Linked DNA regions of Drosophila melanogaster. The protein of the gene in region 2 purifies or fractionates together with the protein of the main gene of each other region. This does not show direct contact. Each region holds a gene or a part of one and is shown on either strand. Other genes may lie near its edges.

What was found.
Region 1: the proteins of Rcd4 (region 2) and ana3 purify together in Drosophila melanogaster (affinity purification with western blotting; one study listed by BioGRID). This does not show direct contact.

The regions. Positions count from the first base shown.
Region 1 is NT_033778.4:12,337,864-12,356,385, reverse strand, and holds ana3 (anastral spindle 3), read right to left. Parts: upstream 11,404-18,522; 5' UTR 11,301-11,403; coding exon 7,863-11,300; intron 7,804-7,862; coding exon 5,308-7,803; 3' UTR 5,061-5,307; downstream 1-5,060. Other genes in the region: CG30049 (uncharacterized protein), read right to left, coding at 1-16, 75-585, 645-671; CG30047 (uncharacterized protein), read right to left, coding at 1,094-1,261, 1,320-1,820, 1,882-2,025, 2,080-2,264, 2,322-2,502, 2,562-2,945, 3,010-3,164, 3,224-3,344 and 4 more; CG8839 (uncharacterized protein), read left to right, coding at 14,716-14,898, 14,957-15,176, 15,246-15,820, 15,882-16,493; Den1 (deneddylase 1), read right to left, coding at 17,133-17,853, 17,938-17,966. UniProt on the Drosophila melanogaster protein: Participes in the structural integrity of both centrioles and basal bodies and in centriole cohesion. Participates in the later stages of centriole assembly through the interaction with Rcd4 leading to the centriole to centrosome conversion.
Region 2 is NT_033779.5:8,375,262-8,389,070, reverse strand, and holds Rcd4 (reduction in Cnn dots 4), read right to left. Parts: upstream 6,211-13,809; 5' UTR 6,116-6,210; coding exon 5,801-6,115; intron 5,737-5,800; coding exon 5,452-5,736; 3' UTR 5,414-5,451; downstream 1-5,413. Other genes in the region: CG42819 (uncharacterized protein), read left to right, coding at 1-242; CG13384 (uncharacterized protein), read right to left, coding at 936-1,180, 1,240-1,412, 1,693-2,584, 2,686-2,854, 4,176-4,211; Dad1 (defender against apoptotic cell death 1), read left to right, coding at 5,059-5,397; CG13392 (uncharacterized protein), read left to right, coding at 6,364-6,482, 6,548-7,100; AlaRS (Alanyl-tRNA synthetase), read left to right, coding at 7,629-8,623, 8,747-10,652; CG17294 (uncharacterized protein), read right to left, coding at 11,060-11,224, 11,278-11,494, 11,550-11,846, 11,899-11,987; CG13390 (uncharacterized protein), read left to right, coding at 12,298-12,441, 12,508-13,509; Wdr82 (WD repeat domain 82), read right to left, coding at 13,591-13,809. UniProt on the Drosophila melanogaster protein: Participates in the later stages of centriole assembly through the interaction with Ana3 leading to the centriole to centrosome conversion in somatic cells.

The DNA.
Region 1 (18,522 bases), on a different chromosome or scaffold from region 2:
CCATCATCTCCAGCGCCTGCAATAAGCTACTAATTTGAAGATGCTATATTCGAAGATTAGTTGAGTCAACCCACCTGGACTACCTGGCTTCGTGTCGAAGTGACTGTTGATTAGGAGATAGGATGAGCTATTCGAACTCGCAGTGCTCAACTTGACGACCACATTCTGAATGCCCTGATAAATGCTGGTCATGGTTCCCACCACATAGGAACCCGTCGGCTGCTGGACGTCCACCTCCAAGTGAAAGAGGTCTCCGCGCATTTCGCTCCTAATCTTTTCCACCTCGTTTAAGAGAAATGCAACCGTCGTCACCTCGTTCGCTGTGCTCCCAACCACTTTGGGTCCGATACGATCCAGTTCGTAGAGTATTTTCTGCGCTCTCTCGCCCACAAATTGGCCGGGTTTAAGTGGCTCGTCGGCCATGGTTACTCGATCTGGAAGCCGGTAGAAGAGCGGAAGTACGATGGCGTAGAATAGCGCCACCCACAGAAGGAGAAAGGAGGGTGCATAGTACCATGGAAGCCTTCGCTTCAACTTCTTTTCCTTTGACAAGACATGGTAGAGAGCGGTGTCCGAAAAGCCTTCCTGGTTGAGTAAATATGTGATAAATTTACATTGGCAAATATTTACTTATATGTACTTGCTTTATCGCCGTCAGTCAGCACTTCCATATTTCCAACTCGATTCCGCGGGAAAAGAGAACTGTGTCGATGTCCAGCAGTCTCACTACTGAATGCTTCTAGTCTACTCGATTGGCACTCTTCAGTTCTTTAAGATAGCCCACAGAGCGGTGTGATAGGAAGCCAACAACAAAATTCATGGAAAACCAATCATTCTATGATTTAGATGTTTAGATTACCCATAGTTAAAAGTTTCCCTGTTGGTCCGATTGGATCAACGCCACCAGAATTAATCGAACAATCTACACACGCGACTAAACGTAAGCGTTTGATTATTAATTCAGGGGAAATTCCATTACTCAAAACATTGCGTTTAATTAGAATACTTAAATGTACGTTCTTAAGCTAATAGAGGCTCTTAACAGAGGTTCTTAGTAATAAAAGGTAGCGAGATGTGCCATAAGTCCAGCAACTTAGAATATATATCGTTCATACAACGTAGGCCATTCCATAACGTGAGCAAAGTCGGGAAAATCGGATATGAACTTCAGGCCGGCAGCATCTCGATCATAATCGTAGCTAACAAAACTGGCAGCGAATCCTAGCTGGAAAGTTGGAGTGCTAAAGTCACCCGAGGATTTCTATGAAGAAGAGCGTTATAGTAGCAATTTCAGGTATTTCGGAAGTTCTTAAACTCACTGCAAAATCAATATGAAACTTTAAGGGGGTATTATCCGCACCGTAGGCAAAGAATATTTGATATGGCGGTGAGTAGGTGTCGGGTTCATCCAGCATGTTCCGAATGAATGACCAATCCTCCACTTCAACCCCATCCAGAGGTTGAATATACAGGCTCATGTGCGGTGGCCCCGAGATCTCGAACTCAAACCTGGCCACCTTTCCGGAGTCCAAAACTGCTTTGCTGAGAAGCTTTAGGGAAGTCGCTCCTGGAATGGCCACCTCCTGCTCCCGAGGCAACCAATGGCTCTTGGCGCGCGTCTTACACCAACGGTGATTGAAGCAGGGAACTCCGCACATCAGGTACTTATCGCACTCGGAGGATGTGCTAGCCAAGCCAGTTAGATTGACAGAGGTGTTTTCCAGTGGATAATAGAGACGACGATCCTGGAAGTCGAAGTAGTAGCCGGAATCACTGAGACTCACGGAGCCATCGTACTCATAGAAAATGCGCCGAACGTGCTGAGGGATTACAAGTGTTTTATGGGGAATGCACATAGCTTGCAATGAAGCATGTACGTACCAGAAAGTGAATTCTCATAACGCTGGTCTTTGCCCGATATGGAAAGCCCACTTCAGAAACCGCTATCATGCTGAATATAAACGTGACCACTCCCAATCCGAGCAGTGCCAATTTGGGCCAGCGGAATATGTTTATCAGAGGAGCCTGGGTAACCATCGTCAATTAGATGTATTCTTAGGCTAAAGCCTTATTTCTTACCACAAATCCCAGTGCAAAGAAAGTTCCAACCGCGCAGATCAGGGCGATCAATAGATCAGGATTGGTGCCGTGTCCAAAACGCCCCAGCATCGGAAAGAAGACCAGGAGAAAAGTGTAGAATAGGTAGCAGAAGTACAGGAAGGGCACTAGTTGCAGGACTTGCACCAATACAACCCAATAGTATCCTGCAAGTATATCCAAGTTACCAATCTATGTGGAGGATTCGATTTGCCATGAGTTACCTCGATCGTGTAGAGTGCTTAGTAGATTAATCAACAGAGCTCCTCCATAAAACAACAAGGACATCATGCACAGATACGGAGTCCTTAGGCTTATAGCAGTGAGGATAATGGCAATCAAGGACAGCAGGACACAGTGCGCATGGAGGCTCATGTGTATGTGATTGGGGTGACTGATTTCGTCCTGCAAAGCAAGTCCTAAAAGTTAACATATATAGATTTTTAAAAGTGTTGGCCACTCACATTTGGTTTTAGTGTGTAGTAGAGAGTCAAGGGCAAAATCTGGCCAATAATTGCTGGAACGATGAACAGCCCAATGACCAGCCAATTGTTGCTGAAGTATGTCATGGAACGGTCTCCGGCATCGAACAAAACTGCCATCAGCAGCGGCAGCCCGAGACTGAGGATCATTCCCAGCACATGAAGGACCAGGATTATGGCGAACCATATGGACACTCGGCCTATAGAGACATCCGATTCGCGACCCATCCTCAAAAGGGAGCAGACCACCAGAACCAAACTGGCAACGGCGATGCAGCAGTTAAGGACTATGCCAGTGTTTTCCGTGTAGTACACAAAGAATAGGCCCAGATAGTCAAAGAAAACAGCGTGTCCTTCGCTGTGATCCTGTCAAATAAAAATGACACAATGAATAATGAGTTGGATTTCCCCAAAACCATTAATGACTCACCTCTGGATTCTGCATTTCAGGCGCATCAGCGAAAGCCCGCACCAGAGATAAGGCATTGTCTCCAGAACTTTGTAGGGAATCAATGGGCACCGCCTGAACATTATCAAAAATGGTATGGTATACATAGCCATTGCTGATTTGCGCCATGTCAAGGCCTTTGGGGAAGAACCTGTTCAATACACAAGCCAATGAAGCATTCGCGTGACCAACTCACCTGGCAGTTGTCCGTAGTCGCGAAAGATACGGAAATCCGTATCGGATGGCAAAATGCCAGACTGAAATATTTCCTCGGCCATTGTGGTGGCAAACGGATGTTTAGCATTCTGGTAATAGTACTATGGGTAGTAAATGAAGTAAATATCCGATTATCAATAAATGCCGCTTTCTTCAAAGGCAATTTCATCCCGCCATCAGCGATTGCCGCTAATAACCACTCGAAATTCGATAAACAAATATGATTTTGAATGTACATATATGTATACTGTATAAACGGCTGATAACCGTGAGCATGGCAAAAAGTTTTCCCAGCAATTAGTCATGGTTGCATGTGGTACATACCTTGATCAGCCACGGATTATTCGGTCCACTCTGGAACAACAGGTCACGACCTCCGCTGCCTGCCACTTCCAGATTTATGAGAGCCCTGCAGAATTATCCCTCAAGTTTTAACTGCCATATTCGAAATTCCAAATGCAGCCCACTCACTTGCAGTTTCCCGCCCATTTATGTTGGGTAATAAAGCCGTGCGATGCCTCCAAAGGATTTTCCTCAGCTCCGTTGAACAGAAACACAATGGGATGTTCGAATGGGGTGTCCGATATGGCCACCTGGCGAAGGACTTCCAGCATGACCACAACCATGGTGCCATCGTCGCCGGAACCTAGAAGCAGGTATTATTAGTACCCTTATAAAAAGAGCAGAATGTGTTGTTACCCACCAGGACTGCTGGGCTTGGAATCGAAATGACTGTTCACCAGCAGGTAGGATGAACTATTGGAGCTCCGGCTACTAATCTTAACAACCACATTCGTGACGCCCTGGTACATGTTCACCATCTGCCAATGCATGTAGGCGCCCGAGGGATGTTGGACATCCAGCTGCAGCTCGTAGAGATCACTGCGCATTGCCGCCCGGATGTTCTCCACCTCCTCTTCGAGAAAGGCCACCGTTGTCACCTCATTCGCCACACTGCCCACCACCTTGGGTCCGATCTTGTCGTATTTGTAGAGCAGCCTTTGCGCCCTCTCCGCCACAAATTGTCCAGGTTTACTCGATTCATGCGATATAAGGACGCTATCGGGCAGGCGATGGTACAAAGGATATACCACTGCGTAGAATAGAGCCACCCATAGGAGGAGAAAGGATGGTGCGTAGTACCAGGGCAATCTGTGCCTTCTCAGCTTTTGCTGCGATAAAACATTGACCAGTGCCACGTCCGAGTTACTAGCCGCAGACCCCTTTAAAATCGATTAATGGATTAATTAAAACACATTGATTTCTTAAATCCAAACTTACATTCTTTTCCCTCGACTTCATGTCGACAAATTGTAGTTTCTGATCGGTCGCGGAAGTCGAACAGTTCCTTTGGCCAGTCGGGACTGAACTGAAAGTGCCATTGACTTGGGGCACCGAAAGTTGAAGGTGGACGGATATTATCAGCAGTGATTCGCACTTTGAATCCCATAAAGATAAATCGCTTTATGCACGCCATATAGCGTTCGATGCTAACGAGAATGTGACAAACGCGACGGATACTTTCCAGTTGCTTCCCAGTTGGTTTTGCAGGTTTTAGTATCTAAATGGCAGGATTTATGGACTGCTATCTTTATACTCTTTACTCACTTTAAACTAGATTGAAAGCATTGTTTTTGGCACGCTTGTTCTATTCAGCCAGTCACTACGGCCAATCACTTCATCGAAAGTCTTATCTTTATGTCCATATGCGGTTGCTGCATACATTCTCGTCTTGGGCTTCTTCAGTACCACATCTTATTGAGACCACAAAATGCCCAATAAGCTCCATATTAGGGTAGTTCAATGACAAAGTAATCAGTTATGGGGTTCAGATGTTTATTTCCATTAGTTAAGAACGTTGTGCAAACTTAAAATGCCTTCAGGCTTCTTCTTACAACAAAATTAAACGGTTGTGCATTATTATATAAAAAAGTTACATATCTCGTTTCACAGTCGAATTACAAAAGTCCATTACAAAAGTTACACATTATACAAAAATAAAACGACTCTGTTATAACTATCCTATCGATTTGTACTTGATCAGAGTGAGTCCATGGTCTGCGATTATTGTCGCATCGACTCCATCAGTTTCTCCAGCAACTTGGCGAGATCATTTGCGTACGGAACGCCTGCGTACTTATTCTCTTCCTCCGAGAAGACCACCGACATCTCCACCCGAAGGCCAATCAGCAGTTTAAAGAGCTTGGTGCCCCGCAGCATGCCCTTATATTTGGCACCGAAACCGAAGAGTTTCCACAACATGAGGACAGCCAGGCGGTGCTCCTCGAAGGAGTTCAGCCCGTTTTTCTCGGATGTGGGTGCTTTTTGGACCCTCTGCTCCAAAATATCACGCAGCAGGTTAATAAAGTCAGCCAGCTCCACGAGCCGGGGGCGATTACCATTGAAGAAGCACATGTTGCGGAGTATTCGAAGGCACAGGATCCGCTTGTGACTCAATGGAGGACTACGCCGAATCGTGTTTATAAGAGATTGAAGATGGCAAGCCTTTCCTCCTACGTCGTACCGGGAAAATACCTCCCAGAATCCGAGCCATGCAATCAGTACAGGTGGTCGCACTTTAAGATGTGTTGAGCACGGATTAGCAGGAAGGATTGTGTCAAACATATCCAGCAAATTCATTTTGGACAAACTCAGCCGACCCTCGGTGCAGCAACAGCAGTTTACCATAACCCTTAGTGCGGGCACCATATTCAGAGATGGCTCTTTGTTTGGAATCTCCTTCTTGGTGGTCTCGAAGTCAGCGACGCGAGCCATTAGGTGTAGCAGGGATTGGGCATGTCCCGACTGAAGCAGGGATATCTGTTTACACATTTCGAATGAATGCTCCGTAAGGAACATAATCAGCTGGACAGTAACCTTTTTTAAGTGATACGAGTGCGATAACCAAGGCCAAATGCGGATGAGGATTTTGGCGATATTCGCAGCCATACTGGTCTGGATGATCTCAGAATTGGGAGAACTATGCCATTGGGATAGCATGTTAATCAGTACCAAGAGATTGCTTATGATACTTTGCGCCTTGTGAGGTCCCACTCGCTTCACATAGACGGCGGCGTTTCCGATTTTTTCGTCATTGAGAAAATCGTCCAGAATGTGAACTACCTTGCCAAGCAGCTTCGATTCTCCGGCTGCTTTCACGGCCCAGGTTGATGCCTTAAGCAGTTCGCCGAGTGCTTCACAAACCTGCACCTGGCCCACTGCAGGAAGTTCCAAAAAGTTTAAGGCCTTCGATAGATAGTAACGGTCAAAGAGCTGATCCAAGCGATGGAAAATTATAATAGCCGCATTAGTGGCCTGGATCGCATGGTTTGGCCTTTGCTTATTGTCATCCGAATTATCCGAGGATTCATCGTAGATGCATTGCGATACAGATTGCTTCTTTTTTGACTCGAATTCTTGTTTGCCATCTTTAGCAATATCAGGATCACTGAATGCTAATTCGAACTTCTCCAACTCACTTAGCATGCTTATATCATACGCAGCAAGTTGAGCTTTGGTGAACACAAGTGATAATGCTGACAGAGTAAAGCGCTGAAATGGCGAATTAATAAGCTTCACATGCAATCCAAACAGGAAGAAATCCATGAATAGAGATGGCTTATTCTTTATCTGTTCGATGAGAAATGAGTTCGAATTCGAGTCCGTGCAGAATATGAGAAACATCTTTAATAGGGGAATCACCATGTACTCGGGACATTCCAAACTCAAAACATCGTTGATCAGCGTTAAATAATTCTGCAAGAATACAGAATCTCGACAAATCGTCATCTTAAGGAACTCAAAGTTATTAGTGTAGCACATCGAGTACAATTCACAAATTTGGGATGCACACAGTTCCACAAGCGGAATCGAACAGGACGCCTGCGACTTGAGTTTTTTCATCACATCGCTGAGACCACTCATCAAACTGTGGCCGCAGAGCGCGGCACACCACTCTGGCTTCATGGCCACCATTTTGGTGCATATGGCAACATAGCAGCTAATTACTTCACACGAATGCCGCTCACCAACTATCTTCTTGAACATCCAGGGAGTGTCGTGAATTGCTTTCAGCGAATTGTAGGCGGTCTTTAGTAAGTCATGTTTCCGCAACAATTCCAAGCTACTTTCGGCACCAATGAGCGGCATCAGAAGGATAAATACTCGTCCGGCCAACTCCCTGATCAGCATCATTTCGTGGGCATCCGTCAGAGTGGTTAAACAGCAAGCCGGCAGTCCGCCGGGTAGAAAATCCAGGCGAGGCAGAATTTCTGCTACCTGCGAGCCACAGATGGTTATCCAATTGGCCAACGATACCCAGGACAATGCACGCACTTCACTGTCACCGTGCCCGCAAAGTGTTAAGAAATAGCGCAAGACCTTATATGAAGCTCCGACATCGTTTGGGATACTGGCCTTGCTGGACGCCTTTGGCTCCTGATATATTAGATGGATCTGGAGCTGACAGATTATGTACAAGCAGTCCCGCTGCCACTCGGATCCGGTTTGAGTTGAGGTACGTAAATTGCTGGACAATTGGATAAAATGCTGAGAGTAGCTCTGCGGACAAAAATTCAAGGTAAGAAATCAATATCTAATGACGATGATCCTTTACTCACCATCAACTGAGCATTACTAAATTTCAGATTTCGCTCGCTTACAAAGCGCAGCATGCAAAGTATGCAGCGAACGTGCTGCAGCTGGCGCAATTCAAAGTGCGTCTTGGCCACGGCACTCAATTGCATAAAGAACTTGCCATACCAGTTCATCGAATCATCACTGAGCTCGTTGGACAAAAGCTGCATCATGCACTGGCAAATCAGGAATAGCTTATCCAGAGAAATTTGGCTATCGTGCAGGAGTAATTGGAAGCTGTGATGATGATCCGTTTCCAGAGCGTAGCTCAGTCCGTTGATAGCATGTGGCTGGCTGAAGCGAATGCATGTTACGCACAGATCCAGCATGGACTTGTACACCTTGTCATCCGCTTCGTTCCCCGGCGCTAAGCGGATGTACTTATGGATTAATTTCCACAAGTTCTCAGCCACCGTATCACTTAATGAGTTTCGCAGAACCACGAGAAATAGCTGAATGGCCGACACAGTTTTTTGCAGATCCTCGTGTTTGCTGCAATTCTCCGCTGCGATAAACTGACAACTTAGCTGCTCATTTAAGTCGGAGGATCTTACTAACGCCAAATCGGCCATTTTGATCTTAAGAGACTCCCTTATATCCAAAGCGCTCACAGACTCCAAAGTAATGCTGGATGGAACCTGGCAAACGCGATAGGCCATATACAGTCGCCAATGCTGTGCAGCTTTTGCCCTATCTCGCCCGAAATGGGTCGCCTCCACATTTTGTTGCAGCTCCAATCCTTCCGTAACGGCAGTGGGTATAACTTTATGTTCAATTTCATAGGTTACAGGCAAAATCAGGGGTTCCATATTCGCATTCAGTACCAGTTTGTCTTCAGTGGAGGTGATACAATTCTGGAACAGCATTTGGAACAGGCATATACTGACATCCTGGCGCAACTGTTCCAAGTGGGGGAACAAGAATAAAGCCCTCAGCAGTAAAGTGTACACCCCGAATGTGTTCGCGACTTCTAATCGAAACTCATCGTCATTGAACAGAAGCTTCATCAGGATACTCACAGTGGGCAGCAGAATATCAGTGTCGTTCCCCTTTTTCAGAGCGTTGTGCAGAGACTCCATAATCAGTCGATATCCATCCTCCTTTGTGGAGAATTCCTCACAAGCTCTCCAGTTTCGTAGCAAGACATTTAATTGAGTCATTGTTGACTTTCGGATATTCGACTTTATGTCCTTGGCCTGGAGTAATCGGAACAGGGCGTCCAAGCTGCGCTGACCTTGAAACCGCTCATCAGAGCATTTGATGAAAATGCTTCTATAACAGAATGGTGGTTGAATTATGCAGAGATCGTTGGCGATGTGCTCAACCGGTACGTTGCTTGCGGTGGGCAAATATCTATTCGTTTGCTCCTGACATTGCAGCACGTAAGCAATTGTAGTGGTGGCCTCGCTCCTAACCTCGCCATCCGGATGGAACATGAAGTAAACGTACCCGCGCAGCATCAATTGCGGATCCAAACGGCTGGAGTCCGGCTCTAAAACGTTCCATATGACGTTGTGCAATATCTTGTGTGTAACCGACCTGCTGATCAGCAGAGGCAGCACGGGGAGTAGCAACGGGAAAACAACGCTGAAATCCTGCGGAGCTAGAATAGCGTTTAGCTTCATAATCATTATAGGATAGTCGAGGCACCACTGCTGCATACGTTCCGAAGTATTTGCTTCCGAACTCTGAATTATCATTCTGCGTAACAGCAGGGGAGTTAGCGGCACGCCTAAGATATGCTGACGAATCAGATCCACATTGCTGCAGCCGGTCATATAGACTGTCTTGTTCATAAAGGAATGAAAGTGGGCCACGGTGGATTTGATCATTAAACGATATATAAGTGAACGAAGTTTGAGAGCAGGCAAATCAACAAGGGTGTAAAGCAGCTCATCCGCATCCTTTCTTAGCTTTAAATTGCCCGCGTAGAATGGAATGCATTTTACAACAGCTCCGAAGAGCTGCTTTACCAATGTCTCACTGCCCAGTTGGACGAGCACAAGGCACACTTGTCTGTACTTCTGGATTAGCAGCGACCCAGTCAGTTCCGTATTCGGATGTAATTGATTTAGGGCCACGCTGTAGGCCCGCTTCAGCTTGATCAACTCCTCGTCCGGTGATGGTCCAGAATCCAAAGACGATATTAGAGTGTTTAGCGACTTCATGCGCTCGGGCATGCCAGACAGGTAAGCGCTGTCCAAAACTATAGGTTGGATGAGTGCTTTGGCTTGGCGTCGGTCCATGCGTTTGTCATAGTTTATATTTAAGGCCACCATATCGTGCAGCACGCCGTTAAGGATCAGCGATTGCAGGCGGGGAATCCTGAGCGAGTCCATCAGCTGGGTCATGCAACTGCCTTCTACACTGTTACAATACGCCAGCAGACTTTTGACCGCGTCCGCGATGAGCGTAATGCTCACTAAGGGAATTTTTGAGCTGAGAACATCGTGGGTCCGCACTATTTCCACGATCAGCTCCATTATGTGCCAGTTGTCGTTTGTGCAGCTGAACAGCAACGGACGAATCAGCTTCATGCAATTTTCCAGCAGAATTACCAAGGCGCTCACCACCTTCACTTGCTTGGGGCGTGACGGAGGATCGAACCTGTCCGCGTAGCTCAGAGTGTTTCGGCGCAACAAGATGCGCTGCTGCAGCAGCCGCAGGCAGGCAATTAGTGCCCGGTTCACATGTATCAGGCTACCGTCAGTCATCGTTTGCAACTGAACCAGATGCAAGAATACGAACGGTGGCTGCAGAAAGTACTCAGTTGGGTAGTCGCCCATACGGATGATCAGTTCGGTGAGCTGCAACTGCAACTCAACGCTATTTCGTGGCAAATCAATCATGCTCTTCATGGTGGCCACATCGTCCAAGCACGGATGCGACCAGGAGGGCTCGTAATCTTCCGGTTTCAGATTGTCGTAAATCTGATTCGAACTGCTGTCTGCGGATTCAGTTGCCTGACTGGGAATGTCATTTGAACTAAGGCTGGAGACGCTCGGCGTCACCCGGTCTATGTTGTACTTCTCGAGAAGCAGCAAATTCATATCATCCAGCAATTCGCTGACCCGCTTGGACTCCTGCTTGTGTAGCACACGGCGAACCTTCTGCAGCTCGGCCTTGAAGCGTTCGTAAGGAATCTTGCGAATCACCGCCTCGGCGTACTCGGATCGAAGGAGTTCCATAATCATGGCCAGCACACGGTCGGGCACCAGCGGCGGTGTGTACCCGAACCAGCGGATGAGCTGCTTCAGCAGCAGGACCGGCTTGAACTGTATCGGCTCGCCCAGTTGCAGGCACCTGATGAATCTCGTCTCAATCTGGTCGAGCGCGCGCATACGGATCTCTTCCGATTCGCTAGTCAGCTTGGTTAGCTGCCCCTCCGCCAGCTGGAGGGCCGGGCTCTGTTTGGTACTCATTTCCTTAGACTAATAATACCCGACTTTTAGTTCGTTTTCACTTCTCTTCCAGGCAGCAAACGTTTTAGGATGTCATTTTTGAAAGCGTCAAACTCGAATTTTGGCTGGCGTTGCCACTCTGCTTGAGTGTGCGTTCCCTGCATAAGGGTCTAAAAATACTAAACCTATTAAAATAGTATTTCTCCACCTGACACCTCGCATCAGCAACAACGAACAATATTCCGCATCAATCTTTTATTGCTCCCTAAGAATTAGGTGCTTTTCACACATAATAAACAATTACTTGAACCTAATCCCTTTTTTGTTGAAGAACTTTTATTCATCTAATTGTTTTATTTTTATATTATTTATATGGTTTTACTTAATAATCTTATAAATTATGCCTCTGATATTTGCCTTATTTCACCAAAACTAAACTACGCGTATTAAATTGCCATATTTGTCTATCGATAATTTGGTCGCAACCGAGTTTGTTATTTCCCAGCATGGCAAGCACGGTCACGCTAGCGCTGTAGGTTTAAAAAAAAGTCGCCCATCTGATTGGACTTGAGTTTGTGCTTAGCGGGTAAATAATAGAGTTTGTTTGCCGCTGCGGTGGAGAACTAGACTTTTCTCTCTGTGTGTGTGTGTGTATAAATGCTTATCTTGGGTTTCATATCGTTTTGTTTACGTGCCGCTCTAAAGTGTAGCTGTGCGATTGTGAATACAGCCAAACGCTTTGTAACCGCTAATCATTGTTCGCCAACCGGTTATTTGCAATTTAAACTTCAACAAAGTGCTATTTCTGATCATTCTTATCCTTGTGACCCATTCATTGTTCCATTTTGAACAATAAAAAGGCTCCCTCGTGACGTCATCGGTTGGATTGTGTTGTTTTAAGTTTATGTTTTTGTTTGCTTTATTTTTGAGGCAAACAAACTTTACTCACACATACATGTGCACAGTGTACGCACATAGTGCCAAATGACACTTGATGAATTCGTAGTGCAAACAAAGCATATGCTGGAAATGAAAATGGAAATAGCGAAATGATGTCACTGGCGCACGCCCGGGTAACTCCCTCGCCCCGATGCCGCCCCTACCACACCCCAGAAACCATTTCGCCGGTCGCAACCTTCGCTTTTCCACCTTTTGCGTACATATATGTACATATGTATATCTCACCATCCAGTTGGAAATCAATGGCCCGTCTACTCTTTTCTAATTAGAAATGGCATGCAACTGCGATTGACATTCCGATTGGATGTCGCTCGAGTAATTTACAATTGAATATTTTGGACACTGAGCCAAAAAGGGGAGCTAAGCAACAAGTTCATTATTATTTATGGCTAATCTTATCGGATTGGCCACTTAAGTGCCCGATTATTGGACCATTATCGTCCCGCATCTCCACCCATTGAACTTCGACCGACTGAAGCAAAAAAGATTTATATTGCACCAGGAAAATGTTTGCCATTTGATTTGTGTCACTGCAACCCATTAGTATCAAACTTTGAATGGCTTATAAAAGATATTCCATTAAATATTATGAGTGAGTTCTAGGAACCGGCCTCATGAGACTTTGAGCTATTAAAGTGTGAATTTCTATTTGTAACTTTAAAATACGAAAAACCCGGCTCTACTGAACATTTCTGGCTTACAAACCAATTTAAAATAATTGCCATTCATTATACAGAGTGCTTTGAACTTCATATAGCATGCTCTTGGCAATTTTACCCATTTTATTCGTTTGTTATTCAAAATCACGGGCAGACAAATTGTCACCACCCCCCCCGTGAATATTCACCCCAACCGCAATTTGAAAGTGCGAACTTGATTATAATGCACTCACTGCATTCAAAATTCGAATGTCTGGCAGTTCAATTAGCAGACTGCGATATGTTGAAAGGCATTCTTAATAGAATAATCAAATCGTAACAACATATTATTCTTATTATTAATATGTAGATAAGCACATTGCGATAGGAAGTGGGAACTTTGAGTTCCACTAATCATTCACGAAGCACTTTTCGGATTGCTCAAAACCGACTATTTCAATTGTTGCTCTATTTTTTATGGCAAACGAATGGCATAAACAAACAGCTTCGACCTGTGACTCACTCCGCTTATCAGTTGGTTTTTTTTTTTCTGTAATACCATTTGGAGTACTGATGTGGATATGGTTAACGACCTGGCTGTTTAGTGAGCTGACGGGGATCGGCTTTTCGGCTATTCACCACTCTCCGTGGTCTGCTTCCCTTTGTGCCATTATCTTCTCGTGTTTAAGCAGCGAATTAGCTGTCTGATGCGCACTCCTGATAAGATAATGAGGTAAATCCTGATTCTGGCCGGGCATATGGCTCCCTTAAACATTATACTGCCCCGATTCCAGCTCTATATATTAACCATATATCTATGTGTGTATACATATATCCAATTCCATACAAGTTTCCATTGTTCGTTTTTGTAAACAGTGAAATGTTTACGAGTTGAACAGTAAAGTCATTTGTTTAAACAACCTTTTCCAGAACAGCGAAGTATTATGCATAGGCTTCCTTTGGCTTTTCTTCGTTATCCGGAAATACACGTTTTTCCCAATACAATACGTATATTGTCATTATTTGCTGAATTTTAGTGCAATTTTCAGTTACTTTATTTGTTTTGGGACCAATATAATGATCGCGGTTTCCTACTCTATGTATGCACTTTGGAGAAAAGTTCTACATTTCGAATATAGATTCCATATTTCCTATGTGCCTTTATGAATCCATCTATCCATGAGTCACACACAGGTGTGGACTTGGCCTATCTGGGAATGGGACGGCTCAATTAATTGCCGAGTCATTAAACCTGAGATGTGTGAAAAGAACTACAACTATGAGTACTATATTTATTTTTATTAAAATTGTCACCAATTTCATTTATTATTGTAGATAAGTAATGCTAAATACTATTCGAAATCATGAGACTTTGTGGCATGAAAACACGAAATAATTCAAGACACATAAATAGAAATTTTCCGTTTCGATATGAAACGTTCATATATTGCGTAAAACCCATTATATCCATAAAATGAATTGCCGACTTAAATGACTGAATTACCAATCATAAATCCAGAACGAGGTATTTTGACCCAATTTTATATTTCTACTGATTTGTTGTTTATTTTTTACTTTTGCTATATAAGGTCTTATAAAAGTTGCCTGATAAACCAGTTTAAATTGCAAATAAACCACATTCATGAGTGCCTTCCTTCATTTAAGTATATTTAACATGAATTTTCAATGCATTTATTTCATTTTTGTTATCGTTTCAACATTCCAGAGCAATAACACATGGGCCAGGGCAAAGTACACAGCCACCAACACCCGCAGTTCCAATTCTGAGTCCTAGTAGCTGAGCTTCTTCAGGCGCACATTCCTTAGAATTCCACAAAATGGCGAAGAGCGTGCCACTGACCCAGGCCATTGGTGGTTACATTTTCGGCATTCTCCAGGCCTGCATTCGCTTTGTTTTCCGGCTGATCTATGGCCAAAAGGGTGAGAGTGTTCCACCGATCACAGATGCCATTCTCTTGGAGTCCGCCACATCGTTGGCACGGAAAATCCGCAAACAGGAGGTGAGTGTGTGCAATCGTTTCATCTACAAAACACCTAACTTTCACTCATCTTGAGCAGCTGAGCAGCGTCCAGGTCTTGGAATCATTTATCCGGCGCATCAAAGAGGTGAATCCCATTCTCAACTGTGTCGTGGATGAACGTTACGATCAAGCTCTCAAGGAGGCAGCCGAAGCAGATGCCCTGATCAAGTCTGGACAATACAGCACGGAGGAGTTGGAGAAGGAGAAGCCCTTCCTGGGCGTGCCCATTACCACCAAGGATTGCATATCCGTCAAGGGTGCGTAGCTCCCATAAGTTTCTTAATTGGATTACCATTGCTATAGCTCAATCATGTGTTTGGCTTTAGGCATGCTGCACACAGCTGGACTCTTCGAACGTCGGGATGTGCGTGCTGCGCGGGATGCGGACGCTATGGCCTTGATGCGCAAGGCGGGAGCCATTCCCATAGCCCTCACAAATGTTTCCGAGGTGTGCATGTGGTGGGAGAGCAACAATACGGTGCACGGCAGGACAAGGAATGCCTACGACACTAACCGCATTGTCGGTGGCTCCAGCGGTGGCGAGGGCTGCATACAGTCGGCGGCTGCCTCCGCCTTTGGCTTGGGCTCCGACATTGGCGGCTCCATTCGCATGCCAGCCTTTTTCAATGGCATCTTTGGCCACAAGCCCAGCAAGTTGGTCGTCTCCAATGTCGGTCAGTTCCCAGCGCCCTTCAGTGCCGAGCAGAACTCCTTCCTCGGCCTGGGACCTATGTCACGATTTGCCGAGGACCTGCGACCCATGCTAAAGATTATGGCTGGCGAGAAGGCGGCCCTGCTTAATCTGGACGAGGATGTGGACCTAACCAAAATGAAGTTCTTCTACCAAGAGTCCGATGGCGGCGGCCGCTTGGTTTCCGCCGTTGATCCAGACTTAAGAGAGGTAAGATAAATGACCTTCTTTCTTAATTAAATCCTCTAATCTGAAATCTTTCTTGCTGCAGGCCATGAACCGCGTGGCACAGCACTTGAGAGAGAAGTTCGGCAATCAGAAAGTGGAGCGCATCCAGCTGCCCCACTTCCGGCAGTCGGCGGCCATTTGGTTTGCCAACATGCGCGACGACAGTGGCCATGGATTCGCCTACCAGCTAGGCAACCTGAATCATGACATCAACACGTACCTGGAGCTCTTCAAGTGGTTCTTCGGCGCTTCCAAGCACACATTCATTGGCCTGTCGACAGCTATCATGGATAGTGCACAGTGCAAGCACGGATCTCCCAAGTACGATCATCTGGTGCGCAAACGAAATGAGCTGAGGGAGGAGTTGCAAAGCCTGCTGGGCGATAATGGTGTGCTGATCTATCCCACGCATCCCACGGTGGCTCCATACCACAATGAGCCCATTACGCGACCCATTAACTTTGCCTACACTGGTATTGTCAATGTGCTGGGCTTCCCGGCCACCGCTGTGCCGCTGGGCAAGCTGGGCAGCGAGGGTCTGCCACTGGGTGTCCAAATCATCGCCAACTTCAATCAGGATCGACTTTGTTTGGCCGTTGCCGAGGAATTGGAGCGAGCCTTTGGCGGTTGGGCCAAGCCCGAAGTTCGGCTCTAGGAGCAGTCTCAAACGTGCAAGTATGCAGCTTAGCTAGCTTTTAGATAGTAGTGGTCAGGTTAACGTCCTGGTCTCCCCCCACCCATTACTAACTACCCCTACCCACCCGAGCATTCGCCTGGCGATGAAAGGTATTCCTTGTGTACTCCAGTGCCTCATTGTAATATCAATTTTCGATGTGGATTTATCTATTTTGTATGTGTTTTTAAATGTAATCTAATCATAGATCCGCGCGGATCCGTTCCCGTTTTGCATTTATAATAAATAATTGCAACCAACTGATATCTTTGTTTTCATTAATTGGCGACAGGCGCCCATTGACCAAACAAGCAGAGAAGTCAGAATTCTGAATTCGAAGCCAACGCGTTTTGTGGCTAAACAAATCTTTATTTTGAAAGACCAACCTTAAAAATATGCCGACTCACCGCCTCAATTGCTTTTAGTTTGCTTTTGTTTTTTAAACATTTTCATTCGGCAAGGAAAACTAAACCCACTACAACTAGCGATATCATGGATATCGTATTCACATATGTAATTCCGATGCTCCTCTCATTCTTCGGCAACGAGTTACATTCGTAATTTGGTCACTTAAAAACTACTCGGCTGTGGGCGGTTCGGCAGGGCAATCCTCGCTAGCCTCTAGCCCTTGCCGCCCAGCGACAGGATGAGTTTCAGTAGCTCGGTGCGCTTCGCCTTCACGGTGTCGATGTGCAGCGACGGCAGTCCGTCGATCACCTCGTATCTGTTTAGGTAATCGGCAATGTGGTCGGTCATGCAGATAACATGGATGCCACAGTCGTAGCCGTTCGCCTGCTGTAGGCAGCGCATGGGCCGGAATTTGGCCATTCGGACGCCAAGCAGGTCCTTGATCTTGTTCATCAGCTCCAGGGAGTTGCCCGTGTTGTTGTTCCCATACGAATCGAAGTGATAGAAGGTCTTCTCCGGACGCGAGAAGACCAACAGTGACCAGTGGCTGCCACCAGCATCGGTGGTTTCGTTGTCGTTCAGCGCGAAGAAGATAAAGGGCTTGCCAGTGGTGTTGCTCTGGTCGAGAAGCTGCTTCAGCTCCTGGTCGCCCATGTACTTCATACACTGCGTAATCTCCGGCGCAATGAAGTGCAGATCCGCATTGGTCTTGTACTTCATGTGGGCCAGGTATTCGTAGTAGAAGCTCAGGATCTGGTCGTTCAGCCAGTGCGGGCCGTGGAGCAACTGGACGTCGGACATCCGCAGGCAGGAGTCGTGGAAGGTCAGCGAGATGGGGTCTGCCTTGGAGTTGCTGCCCATTTTGGTATGGAAGCTATTGTTGGTGAATCTGGGGCGCCGGCGATTCGTATTCTGGTTCTGGCGTGTATGTTGCCTGGAATGAAAATAAATGGCAAAAAATTGATTTAAATCATGTTGTTGCGACTAGATTCGTGTTGTTCCAGCTGGCGACTATCACCTAAGTATTTTCCTATCGTGGGGCAACATTTTCACTAACAATCTTCGCGAAAATTCGGCTAAAAGAATAAAATTTTTCCGGCGACTAATACAACTCCAGGGTTTCAAAGTCAACGCAGGAATGACGTTTTCGGTTTCCTTTTGCTTTTGCTTTCCCTTTCGTTTGCCGGCCGGTACTGTTGTTATTGTTGTGGTTTCAAAGCAATCAGAAATCAGTCATGCCAAGCGCATTTTAAGAACACTATAATCGTATTTTAAACCAAAATAAACATATCGAAATTAACTAATCTTCGTACAAAGCTGTTTTGTTATTGTCTTTGACAACGAATGGGCGTAGCAAAACAAAATAGAGGACACTGAGGAGGTGAAGGTGGTGGTCAGATCCCCACATATATATTTTTTACTCACCACGAAAAATGGCTACTCCTCCTCCTCGAAGTCGCGACCTCGCTTTTTGTCCGTTCTTTGGACACTCCTCGCGTATTACCATTTATTTGGCTGTTTGGGAGCAAATAACTTGAATTTACCAACTGATATTTTCACTAATATAAAAAGTTACACAACACTCTGAATAGTTTTTCCGCTT
Region 2 (13,809 bases):
CCTACGGCCCACCGCCTACCGATGCAGTTGAGCAGCTACCCAGCGATGAGGAGCCGCAAGACTTTACACCCGATCCGGATGCAGAGGAAGTTCAGCCTGTCCAGCAGGCACCCGCTCGCCTGACCAAGCAGATTAGGAACGGTCCACGAGCTCAAGGACTGATTCTGCTCTCATCGAGTCCATTGAGAGTGGCTAATTCCAATGGAATCCCATTCCCAGTGACCATTCAAGCCCTGTGGTAGGAATACTAAATAACATCAATTGTACTGATTTTTATAAACATTATATTAATTATTGTCTTTGTTACCGATTGAACTATTAAAGAACATTTGTTGATACACCGAATTGATGTATTTACAAAACTTTATCGAAGGTCCCATTTCGGGACCAGTACGGCTAGGGGTATACATATATATGTATTTATAGTTGTATAATTACAAATAATCGAACGATAAAAGTATGCAGATAACATTAGCTAATTTCGGTTTTTGGGAAATTCTTAGCAGTTGCTTTGGAATGATCTGCCCCGACCTAGACTACATAGTAAAAGCTAAATAATAATTTAGTTAAGAATACTACGTAAAATCACGTTTGGCATTGTGCGGTCATCGAGTTAACACAGAAATAATCTCCAACTGACAAACTGAACAAATGTTGAAAAACTTTCTACTTAAAATGCTAGTTATTGTCTGGTACGATTGCAGCTGGCTGATAACAACAAAAAAAAATGCAACTAATTTGCCATAAATATAAATTAATCACACTAAAGCACCGCCACTGGACTGGACCGATACCAGTTGGGAAATGGTAAACAACTAATGGTAAACATATTCGTAGTCTGAGTGTAACTACATAAAGCCTTCGTCATAAATTCGCACACATTTGTAGGCAGAACTAGCCAGGTTCTGTTTTCGATTCGCTTATTTCGATTAAACTCAGTGGGTTCTGTCGTTCAGGATTTGAGCTAAGCTGGCCCAGGTGCCAAACACAAAGCCACAGAGTCCAAAGATCAGGATTAAAACGTCCTTCCATAGCATCCAATTGAAGCGTCCATAGCCAACGTTGTAAAATGTAATAACTTCAATTATGGGTGGTGCAATTAGGGCCAAAGCTGAGCTGCTGACGGCTCCTACCAGCGAGATAATGGAGCCTAGATTGGGAATGCAGGTGGCCAGCAGGACTGTGAAATAAAATACGATGATAATTGGAACATTTTAAATATTGACTATCTATGCGTACAGGTAAAAGTGACCAGAACAACTCGCAGCACAGTTGCTGACAAATCCTTGGCCCTCGTTGTATCGAAATGACTTCGCACAAAGGGCTCCACGATGTTCACAGGCACATAAAACTGAAGCGTATACGAGAGGAAGATGGCCACCGCCATTGAAATCCGCACCAACTGGGAAAGTCTAAATATGTAAAGAGGAAGACAATTAAAATATTAGTATTGCAGTCTGGGAATATCATTAAAAATTGTTATAACACCTTTTGCTAGCTTTATTATCATGTAATTTAAAATTATTTAGACAGTAAAGTTAATAACGATCTTAACTATCTGAACTATCAATATTTCGAATAGCGCTTTTCAAATAGCAAGAGCATGTAGATTATGTATATCAGCATGAGAAATATTAAATCCCTCTGTCTTACAACTAAAACCGATTAGCAATGGAAAGTTTAAGGACTTACGTGTCGCCCTGCGGCAGATTTAGGGTAATGCTGCCCTCCACGTGTTCGCCGTACTTCAGGTAGCCGAAGAACCCGACAGCTGTGTACAAGCAGGCCACGATCACCATGCCCGTGTTGAGGACACCTGTGGTGCCGCCAAAGTCCTCGGGTGTGCGCATATTGTTCTCCAAGGGCAGGACAACACCAATTCCCTCGAACGCGTAGATGGCGGTTCCAAAATATAGAGGCAACGTCGCCCAAGTGGCCACCGGCTTGACCGTGTGCACATCCGGCAGATCCACCAGCATGTACGAGAATGTAATGGCCAGTCCGGCAACTGTGAGCAGGGCGGCAACCAGCGAAACGGGTGTCAAATACTTCAGATTCCGCACCAGATTCAACAGGATCATGGGTCCAAGCATTATAAGCAGGTAAATCTGCACAGGCATCTTGTAGTAGTGATCCATAACGTCCTTGATATTCAACGCCACAAAGAGGAAGTAGACGCAGCAGAAACCGATTTGCGTGATAAACAAGAACGTGGTAACAATTCGTCGAGCCAACATGGAGTATCGTCTTAGTCCCAAAGGTCCCGACTCAAAACTGCAGTATGCCACCTCCGAGAAATCTAACGATGGCTGCTGGAATCTCCGGCACAGCTCGTGGGAGCAGTTGACCAGCATGTGCATGCAGTGAGTGCAGATGGCTCCCATGATCATTGTGCCAAAGAGTCCCACATAAAGTCCGGCGTTCTTAAAGGCATCCGGCATTGCCAGAATGCCCGTACCAATGTTGCCCTTCAGCAGATGAACCAGGGTATCGAAGTTGGACGTCGGATGCTCCAGGTCGCGATGATGGGTGGGGTTATAGGACTTATCCGTCGATCCAATTTCATCATCTCCCGATCCAGAGGCTGCTGCGTGCACTCACAGAAAAAAGCGAAAAAATTATAAGTTTCTCGTCATACCTCAATTTACTTTGTAATAACATATTTTGACCTGGTCACAAACTCACCTGCTAAGCTGTCCTCGCTGTGCACGTTGACGAGAGTGTTGTCCGGCGGAGAGCTGCGCACGGGTCGTGCTGCCGATCCTCGACTGCCCTCGTAGTCAGAGGCATCGCTCTGGAGGAGCAACGGCTGTCGTTCCGTCATCTTTTTCTTGCGCGGCGCTCCCTCGGGAATCTGGAAACAGGGGTAGGTAAGTAACTAAGAGCGTTGGATTTTATGATGCGCCCTCTCCGGCTGCACGAAACAAACTAAGAGTGCAACTTGAGACGCCCGCTTTTCGCCTCGGAAATTTTCCGCTGACTCAGTTTTCCACGCTTATAACAATAGGAGGTGCAGATAGTGCGTTGCATAGTGGACAGTGATCGCGTGCCGGGCGGAGTAGAGTGGAAAATTTCGACCATGCTGATAGTCCAAGTTAGCCTTGGACTTGACTCAAAGTACGATTAATGTGATCATTTCATTACTTTGCATATGGGTCTGATTACGCGTGCTTCGGAAGTCGATATCATATTGACGAGTTCGTCTCCCACTAGAGTATAGCTTTAAAGTCGAAAACACCAACAAGTCGCGAAAAACAATCCATACGTAGAGATAAGACCCGCATATCTCCTGCGAAGCCAGCGAGCATACCATAAATCACAATTATATAATGTGTATCCAGACGGTGAATCAAATATCCACCCATTATATTCAGATTATTGACTTGAGTCAGCAAACGGAATTACTCAAGTTGCATTATTGTGATATTTAATACTACTGATAAATTTCTTGAATGAACATATAAGGCGAGAAGAAAGTTTTCGCAAATAAACGTGAAATCAAAGTGTTAACTTAACAAATACAAATTATAATGAGAGATATACATAATACATAAATGATACATAGGTTCGAATCATTCTAGCGTTGATATCATTTGCATATTTATGTATCATGCATGCAGTATTCTGGTTATATTGCCATTTTGACAAGTAATCATGCTTTTCTTACTTTAACACTAGCTTTAAAAAATAGATTTAATAATTCCAGTGTGCTTGCTTTTAGAAGACCTACATATAAGTGCTACATGGTCATAGAATGTGTGCTATTTATTTAGCGAGGAATTAATAGTGCTTAAATCGTAAAGTCTACCTAAATCCAGACAAGCAGCCGACTTATGTCAAGAAATCTTTATTTGAGAGCCATAAAGAAATCAAACAAAGCATTACGAACTTATTTTCGTTTTATCTTGCATCACAGACTTGCACAACAAGGTGCGACATTACAAAGATACATAACTATATCTTTTTCACTTACACTGACTGTATCGGAAATTAGATGTATCTCAACTGGAGATGGTTGAGTTGTAGGAACGCGTCTTTTGGGCAGTTGGAAAAATGATAATGTTGAAACTAAAACTGAAACAAAAACATAATTAACAGATGTACGGATACGAAATCAAAATAAACCCATTCAGCATGCGCAATTTGATGACCAGATGTGTCTGGCTCTGCTCTACCTGTTGAAGGTTGGTCAAAGGTGTCAGGTCCTCCATTGATTTTTTCCCGCTTGACACTGACAATGAAATGGGTGCTCCTGCGAAGGTCACAACGCTGGTTTATCAATGCGAAGAGCCAATCAAATTATAAAGTTCATTTATTGCTGAGTTTGGGGTGCGTGGTGGGAGGAGGCTATGGCAATTATCTTCTCCCAGTCTGCGAATCGAACAGAGAAAACATCAGCAATGAATCATGTTGTGTTCATATAAAAGAAGTTTGATAACACGCTGCATCACTGTTGCACATTGGATAGCAAATGTTTATTGTAACGTTGCAACGCACATCATACCCTTTTGTGGTGTTTTAAATACATACGTTACTAATTTCTTCGAACTCAACTCGCAATAACAATTGCCTCTCACCCCAAAACAAGCACTGAAGAAGCAAAGCAAGACACAACAATCGAGGATGACTTTCCGTATCTATCGATTAATTCGCTGATTTGGCGGTACAGTGAAAATCGGATAGAAAACTTTATTAACGGGTTAGAAAAAGAATTTGTGTTTCTTTTTATATAAATTAAATTATAACATTACCTCTCAAACATATGCAACATTAAAAAAGAATCGATAGCGGTCATTAATCTATAAGATTTGTTATGTTTTAGTTTTAACTAAAACACAAAAATTTTTTAATATATAAACCTATTCTTTATTAAACTTCAAGGTATTGAGTGCCCACTGTACTTGCGCCTTCATCGATAAAGCTATCAGTATTATTTTCAAACTAGACGAACGGTCCTACTTTTGAGTTCTCTCCCAATTTGTGACGTGTCTGCGATTAATTTGTTAAAAAGCGCCTTTATCCTTAAATATCCGGACAAATATCACATAAAATAGCAAAATGGTGGAGCTGTCGAGCGTCATTTCCAAGTTCTACAACGACTACGTGCAGAATACGCCCAAGAAACTGAAGCTGGTGGACATCTACCTCGGCTACATTCTGCTCACCGGCATCATCCAGTTTGTTTACTGCTGCCTGGTTGGAACCTTCCCGTTCAACTCCTTCCTATCTGGTTTCATCAGCACCGTCAGCTGTTTCGTCCTGGCAGTGTGCCTACGCCTGCAGGCCAATCCCCAGAACAAGAGCGTGTTTGCCGGCATTTCGCCGGAACGCGGTTTCGCCGACTTCATCTTCGCTCATGTGATCCTTCATCTGGTGGTCATGAACTTCATCGGTTAACAAAGCTACAAACATTCTGATATTCTCGGATATATTTATAAATAAAATGTAACTCTAATTGTATGTTCTCCTATATGCGCCGAAAAAATCGAAGGGTCCTGGTTCCCAATCCAAGTGGAGTACTGGTTCCTTAACAGCCATGATCATGGGATCTACTTTCTCCGCATAGTCGGCTAGCTGGGGCTCGCTTATGGCCTTGCATGATTCCGATTCTTTCGATGTGTGCTTTAAGGCATCCGGTTTTCTATTGTGCGGCACCAGCACAGAATCGTTGACATTGAGAGGCACCAGGACCCCGAATACAACACGATTCGGAGCGAAGTTCATCTTTTTGGTGATCTTTGGGGTAGTTACAGAATATGTTATTATAAAACAGTATACATAATTGAAAACCTTAATTAACCTGTGGGGCGATAAAGTTAGAATCCTTATTAAGGTTCATATCCAGCTTAATGTTGGATATGATATGGGCCTCGTTCTGCTTGCGCACGGTGGTGTTGCATTTGGGCACGGCTAACTTGATCTCCGGGTTTTTCCCGTTGGTCATTGCACCTTCTTTGGCTTTCGGACTGTCCGGCGAACTGTTATCCGCATGAGAACCGTTGCAGGATTCGACGAGCACATTCGGCGGTGCAGACGACAGTTTGGCCACAGAAACGCGTCGCGCTGTGAAATTCCTTTGGTTCGCATGTACTCGGTTCCTACGTTTGTGAGGCATTTTAAGCAGACTCGCAAGAATTATGGTAGTACACTTCAATTCGCCTCTGATATAAAACAGCACGCAACACTGATTTGACCATTTAACAGCACTGATATGTCATCATCTGTAAATTTCGCGTTACTTTCCGAGACCTTTTTCCGATACCCACTGTATTCAACATTCTCACACCGGTTCGGGACTTATACAACACTGACCCATAAGCAGCTGTTTTCTGAGAACCAAATATTTTGATAAATTAATGAAAAATGGCATTATCACGCGCCAAGCCCGACGAACTGCCCAGGGACGCGGTGGTCATAACAGAGGATCAGGCCCTCAAATACCAATGGAAGATTATAACTTCCTGGGACAAAATAGGCGAAGTGTGAGTGCATGAAGCCTTCTAAAGTTGCCGCTTACCTAACAAGCGATCAAAATATTGCCTTGTAGATGGTCGTTGCGCTACACGCCCGGAATTCTGAGTGCTTTGGCTGCGGGAACGGGCGCCTACATAAATAATCATTATCGCACCAAGCTGCGACTTGGAGGACATGGTCGATTGTCCACTTACCTCCCGATTGTCGCCGTTCCCGCCATATTTACCATGCTGGCGCACAAGTTCTTTATTCAGCGGCCCATCCTACTAAATCCGCTGGGCGAGTGCCCGGTGTGCATCCAGATGCGCAGTGCTGCCTTTCAGACAAGTCTGGGCATCGTATATCCCACAATTCTGGCCCCATTCGCCGCATTTCTGTTCGCAACCCGCTGCTACACGTACCGTATTCCCTCGATTACGGAAAATCCCAGAGAAGTGTTTCTGTTGTGGCGGAAATTTACACGCCCCATTGTCCCAGCCTTAGGAACCTTAATCGGCCTGCAGGCCCTGCTAACCATGTTCCTTACTGGCCAGGAGGACAAGCAGAACTTTAAACTTATGTTACGCATGAGGGAGATCGAGCACCAGGTGGAGGAGGAACACTTGCCACAGCGAATGGACTTTTAATTGTTACACATTGTTAACTAGCTCAAATAGAGGCGCATTTAAGAGCTTATTCTAAATGCATTTTTTAAAATTTGTGATTTTTTACATATATCTGGAGGGTTCTAGAGTGCAATTAATGTAAATTAAGCAAGTGGACTTAATTTTAAATATAAAAAAATTATTTTCTTCATTATGCCATCTCTAAATCTATCGATATCTCATCCAGTTTGCCGCATTGTCTATCGAGCCAATCTCACACGTTGCTGCAGTCGGCTGACGAAATTGTTTGCATTTGCATTTACTGTTTGAAACGTGAGTAATACATAACTTGTTTTGGTTAGGTACCAGTGTGGTCTATTTACATATACGAAAAATAAACAAGTAAACGTTTTTTGATTCAATTCGCTTCCAAATTGTATAACTTTGTCACGTACTGTGCAAAGTGCACTTTCACTGCTCCGATTTGTGGCCGTTTTAAGGGGTTAGGGAGCCCCAATTGTCGCGTGGCAACGTTTACACTCACGATTTGTCCTTTGCAGAACCAGCAATATGAAGTTACTCACAGCAAAGGAGGTGCGCAACGCCTATCTGGACTTCTTCAAGGAGCAGAAGCACATCTATGTTCACTCGTCCAGCACGATTCCATTGGACGATCCCACGCTGTTGTTCGCCAACGCCGGCATGAATCAGTTCAAGCCCATTTTTCTGGGCACCGCTGATCCCAACAGCGAAATGTCCAAGTGGGTGCGCGTGGCCAACACGCAGAAGTGCATTCGCGCCGGTGGCAAGCACAACGATCTGGACGACGTGGGCAAGGATGTCTATCATCACACCTTCTTTGAAATGCTGGGAAACTGGTCCTTCGGTGACTACTTTAAGAAGGAGATCTGCTCCTGGGCCTGGGAGTTTCTCACGCAGCGACTCGCCCTACCCAAGGATCGTCTGTATGTGACTTACTTTGGTGGTGACGCGGCCAGCGGTCTGGAGCCCGATCTGGAGTGCAAGCAAATGTGGCTGGACTTGGGCCTGAAACCGGAACACATCCTGCCGGGCAGCATGAAGGACAACTTCTGGGAGATGGGCGAGACTGGGCCCTGCGGACCATGCTCTGAGCTGCACTTCGACCGGATCGGCGGGCGCAGCGTTCCGGAGCTGGTCAACATGGACGATCCCGATGTCCTGGAGATCTGGAATCTCGTGTTCATCCAGTACAACCGTGAATCTGATGGCAGCTTGAAGCAACTTCCCAAGAAGCACATTGATTGCGGCATGGGTTTCGAGCGGCTGGTGTCCGTCATCCAGAATAAGCGATCTAACTACGATACCGATCTGTTTGTGCCACTTTTCGATGCCATCCAGGCGGGCACTGGTGCCCCACCTTACCAGGGTCGTGTGGGTGCCGACGATGTGGACGGCATTGACATGGCCTACCGCGTGCTTGCCGATCACGCCCGCACCATCACCATTGCTTTGGCTGATGGCGGCACTCCGGACAACACTGGCCGAGGCTATGTGCTGCGACGCATCCTTCGTCGCGCTGTGCGGTAAGATAACTTAATACTACGTCTTATATACATTATATTACATTAGTCATTAGTCATTATTCTTGATCAATTAAAAAATTACACTCTCTAAGCAATAATAATCTTGACATTATCTTCCCACAGTTATGCCACTGAGAAGTTGAATGCCAAGCCCGGTTTCTTCGCCACCCTGGTGAACACAGTGGTTGATCTGCTTGGTGATGCCTTCCCGGAGGTGAAAAAAGATCCCCAACACATCATTGATATTATCAACGAGGAAGAGTTGCAGTTCCTTAAGACGTTAACGCGCGGGCGCAACTTGCTGAACCGCACAATCGAAAAGTTGGGTAACCAGACTACCATTCCCGGAGATGTTGCTTGGCGGCTGTACGACACCTACGGCTTCCCAGTCGATCTAACCCAGCTTATGGCAGAGGAGAAATCCTTGAAAATCGATATGGATGGCTATGAGGCAGCCAAGCATAATTCATATGTGCTTTCGCAGGGCAAAGGTGCTAGCAAAATCGAGGAGATCAATCTGGATGTGCACGCCATTTCGCAGCTGCAGGAGCAAGGTGTGCCACCAACCAACGACACCTTCAAGTACAAGTACGAGGCTGTGTCTGACGAACGTGACTCCGCCTACAACTACGGTGTGTGCAATAGTAAAATTGTTGCCCTGCGCTTCGAAAACCAGTTTGTGAACGAGATCACCAGCGGACAGAAGGCGGGCATCGTTCTGGACAAAACAAATTTCTATGCAGAGAGCGGTGGTCAAATCTACGACCAAGGTGCACTGGTTAAAGTCAATGACGAGGCGAACGAGTTCCTTGTGGACCGTGTCTACAACCGCGGAGGCTACATTCTTCACATTGGCGTTGTAGAGGGCACCCTTAAGGTGGGTGATGAGTTGGAACTGCACATCGACGTGGAGCGTCGCTGGTTGACCATGAAAAACCACTCGGCCACCCATGCCCTCAACCATTGCTTGCTGCAAGTATTGGGTAAGGACACCGAACAGAAAGGCTCTCTGGTAGTGCCAGAGAAGCTACGCTTTGACTTCAACAGCAAGGCGGCAATGACCATCGAGCAGGTGTCCAAGACGGAGCAGCTGACTAAGGAGATGGTGTACAAGAATGTGCCGATCTACGCAAAGGAGTCGAAATTGGCCCTGGCCAAGAAGATCCGAGGCCTGCGATCGGTCTTCGACGAAGTGTACCCGGATCCCGTTAGGGTAATCTCCTTCGGAGTGCCCGTAGATGAACTGGAGCAGAATCCCGATTCTGAAGCCGGCGAACAAACCTCCGTCGAGTTTTGCGGCGGCACCCATTTGAGGCGCTCGGGTCACATAATGGACTTTGTTATCAGCAGCGAAGAGGCCATTGCCAAGGGTATCCGAAGAATTGTGGCTCTTACAGGACCCGAAGCTCTGAAGGCACTGAAGAAATCTGAAGCATTTGAACAAGAAATCGTCCGGCTTAAGGCCACCATTGATAACGATAAGTCCGGTAAGGACTCCAAGTCGCATGTGAAGGAGATTGTTGAGCTGACTGAACAGATCTCGCATGCTACGATTCCCTACGTGAAAAAGGACGAGATGCGCAATCTGCTGAAGGGCTTGAAGAAAACATTGGACGATAAGGAACGTGCCCTGCGTGCCGCTGTCTCGGTCACTGTTGTGGAGCGCGCCAAGACTCTGTGCGAAGCCAATCCCAATGCCACCGTGCTGGTCGAGCAGTTGGAAGCCTTTAACAACACCAAGGCGCTGGATGCCGCACTGAAGCAAGTGCGCAGCCAGCTGCCCGACGCTGCCGCCATGTTTCTGTCAGTGGATGCGGACTCCAAGAAGATCTTCTGTCTCAGCTCGGTGCCGAAAAGTGCCGTGGAAAAGGGTCTGAAGGCCAACGAGTGGGTGCAGCATGTTTCCGCCACGCTGGGAGGCAAGGGAGGTGGCAAACCGGAATCCGCCCAGGCATCGGGCACAAATTACGAAAAGGTGGACGAAATTGTCCAATTGGCCAGCAAATTCGCTCAGTCGAAACTGTCTTAAGAGCATAAAGGATTCGAAAGCGGCAAGACCTTCAATTACTCACAATTTTGATACACAACTATGCTTAATCTTAATCCGTTGATCTGTTTTAAACAGCATTTCAGATGAATTTTTACGGCTATTTATAAAATAAAAGCATTTATACACTAAATTAATTACATAATTGTGTTTGGCTGTATTCGTACATCGTTGAAAAATGATTCGGGCTAGTTCACACTTTAAAAACGGGTCCTTTATTATGTTCCACATGAAAAGTTTATAATCAGAACTGAACTTATTTTGAGCATTTAATTATATCTAAGCCTTACCTATATCAGTAAAGTCTTTTTAAGTAACTATTTTAAATAAAAAATTCGTCAGTATCTATGTTTTAAACACGATAAACATTTGCAGAAGCCCAATAAAGCCTAAGATTGGTTTTTCTGTATAATCCAATCGACAGCCTCTGCAAAGTTTTCCAACAACGCTGTTGGAGGTGGGGATGGTTTGACATCCGGCAGATATTTGCCGGTCTTGACCAGAATTCCCTGCATGCCCATGCTCATGGCGCCCACTATGTCATCATTGGCATCCTGCGAATCAAGAATTCGTTAAGTTTTCAAAATGTATTCCTTACTTTACATACATCTCCAATCATAACGCATGAGGCTGGATCCCGACCAGCCAGAGCTCCTTCGAAGAAATAAGGATTGGGCTTGCCAATCACTTTGGCAGTTCGTCCTGTAGCGAACTCCAAACCCTTGACAAAGCACCCTGGGCCCAAGGCTAGGCCTTCTGCTCGTTTGTAGTACTTACCCTGATGCACGGCGATCAGTTTGTGATTCTTGTTTTCCAATAGAACGCTATTGCAGAGATAATCGTTAATTGAGATAAGAATATCCTTGCTCGGATGCTCACTTAAAAGCCTCATTCAGCTGTTCATAGTTAAAGGCCTTGGGTGCCAGACCGATTACAACTGAATCCTTATAGCGCCTAGTGTCCTCCGGCGGAAAGTCCTGTCGTGCATCCTCAGACAGAATATAGTACGGATTTAGTCTCTCATTTTCCACATACGAGACTGCGGCACTCAAGGAGCTGTAGATCTCAGAGGCGTCAAGTTGGAAGCCAATCCTGCATAGCCGTTCGTGAAGAGTGGCCTTTGAATCCTTCGTGGTGTTTGTAACGAATTTCACCAGTACGCCAGAGTCACGCAATCTACACGGCAACTTTGAAAATAATTACGAATACCTTGGTTTAAACTAAGCACCTTTTTAACGCCTCGACAGCATTCGGAGTAGGTTCATCCTCCACATGCAAGGTGCCACTGAGATCAATGAGTGCTCCTTTAATAGACATCTTTCTCAACTGTTGAAAGCTTCTCGTTCCTCTGGATAACAAAAACATAATTTCCAGCTGGTTCGATAGCTTTCGATAGTCGTCGCGATATGTTTATGTATCAGCAGGTGATTTTCCACAGGTGTAGACGGGGATTCGAATACTTTTTTAAAAGTAAAAAATTCTAGCCGCCCTAAAAATACATCTTAATATATTTATATAATACATTTCTCGAACCTTTAGATCATTTAATTTAATTTCACTTGATTAAGATATATCAATCCCTATTACATATTTTTCTGACTATGCCCATGGTCACAAGACTTCAGCAATGTTATTCTCTACCGGCAAATCGTTTCTTGCGCGATTTTCATTGAATATATCCAGAAATGCAAAACCAATTGGTCTCATAGCCAACTACTGTCAGGTGGCATCAGCGCTGCGTCCGAAGAAGGCGAAGTCCACCCGGAAAGAGGTAGAATCATAAGATTGCAATGGAATTTACATAACTAATGCCACACTTTTGTGTCCACATTTCCAGGCGCAGTACTTCTCCGATGCCAAGAGGATACGTGCCATCGGCGGAAAGGGTGGCGACGGTTGCGTGTCCTTCCTGCAGCTATGGTGCAATGAAAGGGCCGGTCCAGATGGCGGAGACGGTGGCCACGGCGGGCATGTGGTGTTCCAGGCCTCTAACGATGTGCGCAACTTTAACCACGTGGGGAGTGTTCTGAAAGCTGAAGAAGGAGAGCCGGGCAGCTCCAAGGATTGTCATGGCAAGAACGCCAAGCATTCTGTGATCAAGGTTCCAATCGGGACGGTGATCAGGAATGCGCAAGGTCAAATTGTCGGGGATCTGGGACAAGCGGATCTTATGTTTGTGGCCGCTCGAGGAGGAGCCGGTGGCAAGGGCAACCGTTTCTTTACCACGGACAAGGAAACAAGTCCCAAGGTCAGCGAATACGGTCCTAGGGGTGAAGATCTATCATACACTCTGGAACTGCGCAGCATGGCGGATGTGGGTTTGATTGGTTACCCCAATGCTGGCAAAAGCACCCTACTGAATGCACTGACACGGGCCAAGCCAAAGGTTGCTCCCTACGCCTTCACCACGCTGCGTCCGCACTTGGGAACCGTCCAGTACGATGATCATGTCCAGCTCACCATTGCCGATCTTCCCGGACTCGTGCCCGATGCTCATCGCAATAAGGGCTTGGGCATACAGTTCCTAAAGCACGCCGAGCGTTGCACCTTGTTGCTGTTCGTGTTAGATGCCAGTGCACCGGAGCCATGGACGCACTATGAGCAGCTAATGCACGAACTCCGCCAGTTTGGCGGACGTCTGGCGAGTCGCCCGCAATTGGTGGTGGCCAATAAGCTGGACGTGGAAGAGGGCCAAAACAACTTTGAGGAACTGCAACGTCGCCTGCAAAATCCCGTGCTCGGCATTAGTGCCAAAATGGGTCATAATCTTGGACAACTCCTGAACAGCATACGTAGAGGATACGACCGCCACAAGGACCAGCCCCAGGAATCCAGTTAGAGGCCTCTGTTTATGTTATGTTGATTTATTATTTATAAATTAAATTGTAATCTTATAAGCTAAGCAAGCGGGAATCATTGCCTACAAGCCCTCCTCGGATGTGGGCAGCCAAAAAGCCATGTTGGTGCACGCGGACGCCAGCATCATGTATTTTGGATTGAACTGAACGCATTGCACCGGTCCCGGATGGTCACCATTCAGTACGGACACCTTATTGCCAGTGTCGGCATTCCAGATGTGCACTCGTCCATCGGTGCTGCCTGAAAAGATGAACTGCGAGTCTGGGCTGAAGCTTGCCTC